Drosophila melanogaster: one gene and its partner. Changing the gene in region 1 together with any one later gene gives a genetic interaction. Each region holds a gene or a part of one and is shown in the gene's direction. Other genes may lie near its edges. The genes, in order: Tip60 and E(Pc).

Region 1 (5,319 bases):
ATTTTCATTTTCGACAACTTTAATGGACCGCAAGCGTAAGAATCTATTTTAGTTTATAGCTTAGTGTGCAAATAAACAATATTTATATCTAATTTATGTATACCTTGGTTTTGGTGGTAACGTAAAGATCGGACAACTTGCTGTCCAATACTGGAATTCCACCCAAAATCGAAATTAGTTTCAAATTTTACGTTTACTTAGTTGTTTCTCAACTTAGTCGCCCTGGTAGAGCTCTATTCAAGCCTGGCCATGCATAAGATATGGAGTCCAAACACCATAGAGCTTTGGAGCCTCCAGAACGTACACAAATGTGAAATTTTGCGAGTAACAAACATAACTATACCTTTTTCTTAATAAAACAATATCTTAACTCGGTTTCTGCTTAACATGCACTATATTTCCACCTTAAGATGCAACTCAGCCAGAGCGCACTTACCTTTTTCTTCTTCTGTCGCTTGCCGACATTCTGATCGTCCTGGGTCTTGCCCTTGGCAGTGGCTCCGTACTGGAGTACCCTGCGGTTTGGTCGCGACAGTTCAGCGCTGGGCGAATCCTTTAGCATGGCAAAGACCTGCGAGAAGGACGTATCTCCTGCTGCTGCTTCTGCTGCGGATCCTTTGGCAGCGTCTGCCGTGGCTGCGTGGTTACCAGAGCTATGGCTATTACTAGGGGATGATGACTTCTTGGGGTCATTGCCTCTGCTGCTACTGCCGCTGGTGGCTACATGGTTGGCAGCCACTGGTGCCGCTCCTTGGCTGTCCTCGTCTTTGGCCCCCTGGTTCCTACAGGCCTCGTCAAGCTGCGCGTCTGCCTTCGCCACATGGTCTGACATCATGGTCATAAGCTGCTCCTGTGGGAACGGCGTCGGCGTTGTTTTGGTGACGGTGGTCGTCGTGGTGCTCTCGCTCATCGTGCCAGCGGCAATCGAGACGATGGGCGTGTCCGGTATGATCGTTGGCAGTTTGGCAGCTGCTCCACCAGATGCCACACGATCCGCCGGTGTGTCCGATGATGACGGCGTTTGTTCATTGTTCATCTTCTTTCGTTTGGTGGCATGCAACGAAGGAGAAAAACAAATGCCATTCGAATTCCTCGAATCTGTTAGGGCGTGTGAGAAGAGGGGAATGTTTGTTTTAGTAAACGGGTATATCTCGCATTCCCATTAACTGCTTACAAACTGTTTCTTCTCTTCGCGATGTTTCTAGGTAGCCCAGCTGCCCAGCCGCCGTGTGGTTGCCACCGCGACTGCAAGTGCTCTGCAGGCTGTTCCGCCGATTCCTAACGATTCCTCTCGACTTCCAGACGGTTTGAGGCACAGGGGAGCCCACCTATTGCGCATCAGTTTGGACTCCTGCTGCACTTGACAGGCCTGTCGTCAGTAGCTCTCCTCCGGCTCAAACCTTTGCTCGCGGCATTTACGTAGGTTCCTGGGCACGGGGATGCGGATTGCTCGCAAACAGACCGGAATACGGAAATGTGTGCGCACGGATCTGCAATTGATTGGGAAATGGGGATGAAGTTGAGACTAAAACTGAAACTGAGACATTGGACCACTGACTGGGTGTTTTGCAGCATTTGTTGTTGTTCTGGTCATGCGGACGAGCGACAAGGGGCGGTGGGTGGTAGCAGGTGCGTCTGTTTAGTCTTTGGCGACCCCTTGCGGCCCACTGACTTCGAATTTCTTTAAAAAGCACTGGTCTCTTTCCATATTCATTTTTTTTATTTTTTTTTTTTTTTGGCTAAAAAGCAGTGTTGCTAACTACGCTGCGTGCCAGGGTTGACAAATGCTGTTTGTTGTTTGTAGGGGCAAGCCGTTGAGATTGCTAAATCGGCGTTTGCTCTAGGCTTGCATCTTACTAATCAACACGAGATTGCCTGCCCGTTTTGCAACTAATTAGTGGGATATGCCCATCGAGTTGGCAGCCCTGCGGCTGTTGTCAGTGGCAACACTATCGCAAAACACGTCATTTTGACACAGCTTTTTCACCAATTTCCCGCTCAGCTCGTCAGCATTGGGGCACTGCGGCACAGTTGCCCAGCAGTTGTGGTCACAATTACCCAGTAACTGAAGTTTTCCGCGGATCACAGTAGTCATTTATTGATAAATACGCCAGTCGATGACAGCTGTATAACTTTCTGCGCACTCACACGAGCGCACACGAATGTACGCACCCACACACACGCACACAAATTTACGCCTGTGTACATTTCTCTGACCTTCTCAGCGTTTTTATTTTTTGGTTTGGCAACTGAAAAGAAGGGAGCACATAACTGCGCACTCAAGTTCTAGCAACTGCAATTGAGTCGAACGGTTGTGCTTAATATGTTACAGTTGTTTGTAAGCGGGCGAAATTGTTTAATTGCACAGTAGGCACATGAGAAAAAATACCGAACCCGAATTGAAAAACTCTCTGGAATTGTTGTTGTGTTGTGCAGCACTTTGAAAAGGCGACGCGACGCTGCGCAGCACTGCCCATGTCATCAACATTTTTAAACCGCTGATTCACTGTGGCGGTAATCGATTGGTCGATAGTTATTTACGTTTCGCTATCTGGCAATACTGCTGTTTTAGGAAAAAAAAAACGCGTAAAATATAAACAAATGAAAATTAACCACAAATATGAGTTCGACGACGATGTGGCCTCCATATGCGAGTCAACGGTGGGTTCCGCTACGCCTTGGCGTGTTTTGGGTGTTCATTCTAATGGTTTTAACCGCAAACTTGCAGGCCGCCCTAACCGAGGGATGTCGTTTACCCGTCAGGATGCACAAAACGGACGACTGGCCACTAGCGGAGATTGTGAGCATCAAGGAGTTGGATGGGCGCCGGCAGTTTTACGTGCACTATGTGGACTGTGAGTACCAAGTCGTCCAGTGGGAGCATATTTAGTATAACTGCCAATCCGCAGTCAACAAGCGCTTGGACGAGTGGGTCAACGAGGAGGATCTGTACACGCGAAAGGTGCAATTTCCGCGGAGAGACGGCTCACAAACAGGCACCAGCACTGGAGTGACCACGCCACAGCGCCACCATTCCCTAGCGGGCAGCGTTTCTCGGCCTACATCACCGCAACACCCTGGTTCCGGGGCTCTGGCAGCCATCCCCCAGACTCCTACTGGTGCATCAGGCAGTGTTCCTCCCCCTGCTGGCATTCCAAACTCTGTGGCTCCACCCGGAACACCAAGCAGTGGGGGAGAGCTTGTGAATGGCAACAATCTGGCCGCAGCCCTTCAGAAACGCATCAATCGCAAGCGAAAAAACCACGGAGGCTCGGCCCATGGACACCACAGTCTGACCAGTCAACAGCAGCAGTCACATCCGCATCCTACAACTCCGCAGACACCCACGGCTACGCCCGTGCATGTGACCGGCGACGGTTTAATAAGCGGAGCGGCCAATGATGATGGTGATGGATCGCAGGATGGCAAGACGCCCACGCCGAGGCAATCAGGCAGCATGGTTACGCACCAGGACGACGTGGTCACCCGCATGAAGAACGTGGAGATGATCGAGCTGGGCAGGCATCGCATTAAGCCCTGGTATTTCTCACCCTATCCGCAAGAGCTGTGTCAAATGCCCTGCATCTACATCTGCGAGTTCTGCCTGAAGTACAGGAAGAGCAGGAAGTGCCTGGAGAGGCACCTGTCCAAGTGCAATCTTAGGCATCCACCGGGAAACGAGATCTATCGCAAACATACAATTTCCTTCTTTGAAATCGATGGACGCAAAAACAAGGTGTATGCCCAGAACTTGTGCCTGCTTGCCAAACTCTTTCTCGACCACAAGACACTCTACTATGATACCGATCCGTTTCTCTTCTACGTAATGACAGAGTTCGACTCGCGCGGCTTCCACATAGTAGGGTACTTCTCCAAGGAGAAGGAGAGCACAGAGGACTACAACGTGGCCTGCATTCTCACAATGCCTCCGTATCAGCGCAAGGGCTACGGCAAGCTGCTCATTGAGTTCAGCTACGAGTTGTCCAAGTTCGAGGGCAAGACGGGATCGCCGGAGAAACCATTGTCTGATCTGGGTTTGCTGTCCTATCGATCGTACTGGGCGCAAACCATACTGGAGATCTTTATCAGCCAAAACCCGAGCACGGACGGCGAAAAGCCCACTATAACTATAAAGTATGGCTAGTTCTAAGCTTAAAGTAATACAATTTTCAATCCACAGAGATTGTGCTTCATTGCCGAAACATAGATTAATCATGCTCCCAAAATTTTTCTTCACAGCGACATCTGCGAATGCACATCCATCAAAAAAGAGGACGTGATCTCAACGCTGCAGAACCTGAACCTGATCAACTACTACAAGGGCCAGTACATCGTGTGCATCAACCGGGTTATCATCGAGCAACACCGGCGAGCAATGGACAAGCGCAAGATCCGCATCGACTCGAAATGCCTGCACTGGACACCCAAAGACTGGTCCAAGCGCTCCAAATGGTAATCTCCTCATCTTCTCCGTATAAATAACTGAGTTTAAACAGCTTTGAATCCGTTTTTTTTTGTTTTTAGATTTCCGCTACCAATATTCTTCATCGGATGATCCTGGCTTCGTTGTAGCTTGTAGTTTTCATTTACAGTTTCCGTTTTTAATGTTATAAACTAGTTTATATCATACAATATTATATATACTTTTGAGACGACCGGCTAGTTGTTTGTTTCCCGCGGTGGGAGAAGATCCTCCACAAGGCGGTCCATTGCCTGTATCATGCCCATCTCCATACCATTCTCCAATCCATCGACGGCGGTACGCAAACTTCTTAGAGCTTCTTGGTTCTGGGCGAACTCCCGTTGTTGCCGGCATAGATTTAGGCGCGGTTTGTGGGTGGTGTTCAGATGTTCCAGGCACTGCTTCACATCGTTGGAGTCCAGAATGGCGGGACGCAGATCACTGCCCAGTTTGGATCGCAAACTAGCGATATCCTTGGCCGCCTGGTCGACTTGATTCACATCAGATACACGATGGGCATCCACGGCCGCCTGCAGGGCTCCGCACTTCAGGAGCCTCGCCAGCCGCCCAAAGTCCCGCTGATACTCACACTTGGCGTCCAGCCAAATGCGTACTTGCTCCTCCACCTGGCGCTTTACATTGCGGCTGTCTTCCTGAAAACGGCGCATCGCCTCCAGGTGCAGCAGGTATTGGATGTCGTCCATGGTGCCCTCAGTTGTCAATGATGGCGGTGTGGTCGTGGTGGGAGTGGGTGGAGTTTCCATAGTGGCTTACAAAAACTTCTTAGTTTTTAAAGTGGGAAATTCGGATTCGATTGCCGACGCTATCGCTTTCGCAGCTGCTATCGGTAGCATTTG
Region 2 (4,958 bases), on another chromosome or scaffold:
TAATTCAGATTTTAAATTGACTTTACACCTCAGCTCACCACGCACACATCTAAATAGTGCTTCCCGCCACTCACCTCAATTCGCCATTTCACCCACTCACCCCAACTCACCACACCAAGTGGCGCACGCGCCACAAATTCCACCAGTGGCGTACGCAGGATTCTCTCAAAGGGGCTTGAAAATATTTTCTTATTTTCATTTAATTCTGTAATATGCTGAAGAAGAAGAGCCCTCTCCCTGCGCACGCCACTCTCTTCAACCACCAACACGGTTGCGCAGCCGCGACAGAGAGATATGCCTTCGCTCTCTCGCAGCTGCGCCACGCCCACCACCCACAGCCACCCACGAAAATGGTGCTTTTTCACATACGACACCACTGTCTGACTATATTTTTCATCATGTACGCCATCGCAATCCATGCCACAGTGGTCGCAATGCCGCGACAGCCGCTCCACAAGTGCCACCAAATACTATTTTATTTGTGTATTTATTTTCACCGAAAATGAATTCCTGCACTTTGTGGGCGGCAGGCGCGCGTGCATTGCCGAGCATCTGAAACGTCGAGGGTAGAGATGAAAATATCGGGCGCCGCCTGTCACCGGCGAGTATTACCCAATATAAATCGCTAATGGCCACAGGCGGTCGCCGCCCCAACTGTAATTGTGAACGTCCGTGCGGCCATTGCCCAAAAATGATTACATAATACGATCGAACGAACCGAATGAGAAGCCAAAGAACTAAGGATACGAAAGCAGCTGAAATAACGTTGGAGGATCGGCGCGGGATTTTGGCAAATCGAGCTTCTTCTGCTTGGGGCTTTTCAAGCATAAGGCTTTGAGGCTTTCTTTTTACTAAGCAGGTGCTTCCAACTCGCTTTGCTGGACAAATGCCCGACATAAGTTACCATTCAAAATCGCTTGGCCAAATCAGCATTACCCCCACAAATTGTTAAGGACTAGCGAGTAAATTTTAATCGTATTCTCGAATATAAATTGAGCAAACTTTAAGTCAACGAGCACATTTGAAACTATCAAGACATTGTAACCAGCAAATAAACAAAGTTAAGCAAAACAGCGAGTACGAAAAGCCTTGTAAGAGATTATAATAAAACAAAAGCATTTAAAGGAAGTTACAAAGTGGAGTTATTATTATTTGTATGCTGTATGCACAAGTTTAATTTAAAGAATCCAAATAAAATTCTAAGCTATCCAGCACACAAAATAAAACAAAAATTGTTTTACTCATTTAATAACTATATCTATAATGTCGACTGTTCAGCAAACAAGTTGTAAATACAAATTTGAATTAACAATTTTTTATAAATTTCGAATGTTAAAGCCCATGCGTTAGCACATCTTTGCCGATGCCGCAATTGTGAGTGTTTCCGATAGCTCGCACGAAATGCACTAGCGCATGAGCACTCCGAATTATTTGCACACCACTAGCTGGGCACCTGGTGAATGGGGCTGCGTAAATTAACAACAAAATAAATAAATGCAGCTTGGCCCCGGCTATCCAAATGTATGCATGCGACCCCTCACAAAATTCCACAGATTTAGATGAAAACCGCACTCAAAACGGTTAACTATTTCGCCTGGAGGCCTAGCCAAAATAATTTCGCCACTGTGGCGACGATTTCGTTCGACTCCGACAACTCCGAATTTTCATTCGTAATGGCCGCCCATAAGTAAAAACGTGTCCCGCTGCTGAAGAACGATTATACGCGTTTGCGCTAAGCCAATTGCTTGAATTTAGCTGTAAACGGTGCGGCAGTGGTAAATACGCTGAAAACCACATCATTTAATCATATAAGAGGCCCCAACGCCCGGCAAAGAGTGTGAAAAAAGTGCGTGAAAAAATCTTAATCGATTTTTTTGTTTGTGAAAAAAAAATCATGCAGCGTTGGGCATAGTGCTCGAAGAGCTCGCCAGGGGGCGCTGACAAACTGTTCGGAGTGTCATCGGAATAAGAGGCCGGCTATTTAGCGCTGCCAACGGCGATTAATCGATAACCGTAGCGGTTTTGAAATATATATTTTGAAAGGAAAACGTCATGTTAGAGCAATTTAAAAATTCTAGCAGTAAATATTTAATTTTTGCCCATATATGACAGGGCCCTGCAGTGAAATTGCGGCAATTAAATCGACGACCGCTTATCGTTATCGCCGCCGACGGCACAAATAAATCGCGGCCCCGCTGTCCGCGGCGTCGTCGGTGTTCGGCTCTCTGGCCGCCATTATTGCTTTCCAGCGAAACCACGCTATACGCAAAATCGGGTTTATATGTGTAAATTTTTCGGGCGATTTATCAACCAGATTGCGTTCGCTGATGCATGAAAAGTGCGGTAAAGTGTGTAAAAAATTAGCGCTGGCCCAGAAAAACATACGCACTCGATGGCTGATTACTAATTAACTAGATAAAAGCAAAAAACAAAACCCACATGAGGCGGAGTTTGATTGCGTTTTTTTTTCTCACTTAACAGAGTTCTGTACAAACAAAATGTTAGCTAACAGGGCTCTGCAAAGTGAAATATCTCGCGGAAAAGGCAGTATTAAATTCGCCGCGTTTGTTTGAGATGTGTGTTTGCGCGCGTGTGTTTGTTTATGCCGCCTTTTTCTTCGTCTCGGCTTTCTATGATTTTGCATTTTATCGCATTTAAATAAAAAAAAAAAATCATGACTCATGCGGATCGTGTTTTTGTGCGTGTTAATATTAATTTAATGCAAAAGCAAAGAAATATACAAATGTATGTGGATTTGTGAGTTTTTTCCCGCGCGCGCCGCCCTCACATATCAATGTATGCGTGTGTGTGAGAGTTGTTTACTTACTAGTTTTTGTTGTTGTTATCAATTCTAGATTTTTTATCAGCCAACCGATAACACGACAGCCAAGGCGAAATAATAATAAATAATAACAAGAAGAGGAAGTCAACAAATAAGCAAAAGAAAGAAGAACACAATATTGATTTAACCTAAAACGATGATGAACTGAAATGTGCAAATTTGATGAACGTAATTATGCCAATTCACACAGAACCTTCGATTTCAACGTGAAAAATGTCGTCGACACATTTGCTGCATTCACTGTCACTGTTGTTGCTACCACTGCGTTGTCGTCGTAATTGCCACCAGATCGTTTCCTTGGCCATTGTCCTGCTGTCGGCGCTGTCAGCCAGAGCTCCCGAGGATCAAGGAGGACGACAGGAGAGGGAGGCGGAGGAGGAGGACGAGCGGCAGGCGGACCGCCGGGAGAGTGTCCAGGGGGAGGAGGAGGACACGCCCTACATAGTCGCCAATCCACACCCAATCCTCACTAGCAGTAGCACTACGTCTTCGGCCAGGGCAACGGGCACAGGGGCTGCGTTAACCAGCTGGCAGAGCAGCCACAGCCACCGCAGCCCCGGTGCTCACGATCGGGATCGGTGTCAGGAACAGGAACAGGATCAGAAGCAGCAGCACCTTTTCTACCCCAGCAAGCCCCATCTCCAGCTAACGTATACAGCCCCCTCGACATCGAGTAGAGGAGCCAACACAACGCCGACCACGAATCGGAGTAGATCCTCCAGAATCCAAATTAGCAGTTGCAGCACTAGTCCTGCCCACTGCAGTTGGACCGCCGGAGCAATCGTAGCCTCCTTAGCATCCATAGCCACCTAAGCAGTCGATTCCACTAGGCAAACTCTCAAATCAGCCACAGCAACAGCAAATAGAAACGTTCCACACACCACAACAACCCAACCCAAAACCACCCACAACCAAAACCCAAACAAAAGCCAGCAAGATGTCCAAGCTGTCGTTCAGAGCCCGCCATTTGGATCCGTCCAAGCAGATGCCCATCTACTTGGCGGAGGAGCTGCCCGACCTCCCCGAGTACTCAGCCATCAACCGGGCAGTGCCTCAAATGCCCAGTGGCATGGAGAAGGAGGAGGAGTCGGTAGGAAGTTTCTCAGTGATCCTTTATTTTGGATGAAACTAATTTTGTCCCTTATCCCTTGTAGGAGCACCACTTGCAGCGAGCGATATGCACGGGTCTGATCATCCCCACGCCCGAGGTGCTGCAGACGGATCAGCCCTTCTACGATGCCTACTATCCGCCGGACTACAAAATGCCCCGCCAAATGATCCACATGCAACGTAAGCAAAAAGCAACTACTAGAGCAGAATAATTCGTTTCGTTTCGGGCTTAGAACATTATTTTTAAATTCCATATCAATATTGAATGAAATGCAATAACTTATGTAGTTTCGTATTATTCTTGGACTAATTTTTTACAATTGTTTAACTCTCAGCTCTTGGGCTGGATACCGAGGTCCCTGACTACGACATGGACAGTGCCGATGAGGACTGGCTCAGTCAGCAGCAGCGCCTGGAGCTTACCGAACTCAAGTTCGAGCAGATGATGGACCGGCTAGAAAAGAGCTCCGGCCAAACGGTGGTCACGCTGAACGAGGCCAAGTCGCTGCTTAACCAGGACGACGAGACCAGCATATCCGTCTACGATTACTGGCTGAACAAACGCCTCAAGATGGTAATAAACACTTAGCTTGGCTATTGGCTACGGCAATATACTAAATCAACTATCTTATTCATTCTCTAGCAACACCCGCTGATCCTCACTGTGAAAACTGAGAGTCGACCAGGCGCCAGCTCCAACAATCCGTACTTGGCTTTTCGTCGTCGCACCGAGAAAATGCAAACCCGCAAAAATCGAAAGAACGATGAGGCCTCCTACGAAAAGATGCTCAAGCTGCGGTAAGAATCGAGTGAAGTTTGCCTAAAGTCGGTTGAGAAATTTTTAAATGCTGGCTAATCGGGCTACACTGCAATTACTGGACACAGAACTTGCAAACATTTTCTTTCTCTGTATCATATAAATTCAATTCCTGCCCGATTTAAATGCAGGTTTTTTATGCATGATATCCTTAATCAGGAATTTTCCCATATACAACATTTTGTTTAT

Evidence for each region.
Region 2: of Tip60 (region 1) and E(Pc), changing one enhances a phenotype caused by changing the other (phenotypic enhancement), as found in Drosophila melanogaster (one study listed by BioGRID).

The regions. Positions count from the first base shown.
Region 1 is NC_004354.4:4,114,135-4,119,453, reverse strand, and holds Tip60 (Tat interactive protein 60kDa), read left to right. Parts: upstream 1-1,966; 5' UTR 1,967-2,601; coding exon 2,602-2,661; intron 2,662-2,728; coding exon 2,729-2,855; intron 2,856-2,909; coding exon 2,910-4,134; coding exon of another isoform or gene 4,135-4,144; exon of another isoform or gene 4,145-4,157; intron 4,158-4,239; coding exon 4,240-4,452; intron 4,453-4,524; coding exon 4,525-4,525; 3' UTR 4,526-4,654; downstream 4,655-5,319. Other genes in the region: tyf (twenty-four), read right to left, coding at 437-1,036; dgt4 (dim gamma-tubulin 4), read right to left, coding at 4,660-5,226.
Region 2 is NT_033778.4:11,450,538-11,455,495, forward strand, and holds the start of E(Pc) (enhancer of polycomb), read left to right. Parts: upstream 1-1,651; 5' UTR 1,652-1,846; intron 1,847-2,231; exon of another isoform or gene 2,232-2,348; intron 2,349-2,855; 5' UTR 2,856-3,779; coding exon 3,780-3,932; intron 3,933-3,996; coding exon 3,997-4,132; intron 4,133-4,287; coding exon 4,288-4,526; intron 4,527-4,595; coding exon 4,596-4,750; intron 4,751-4,958.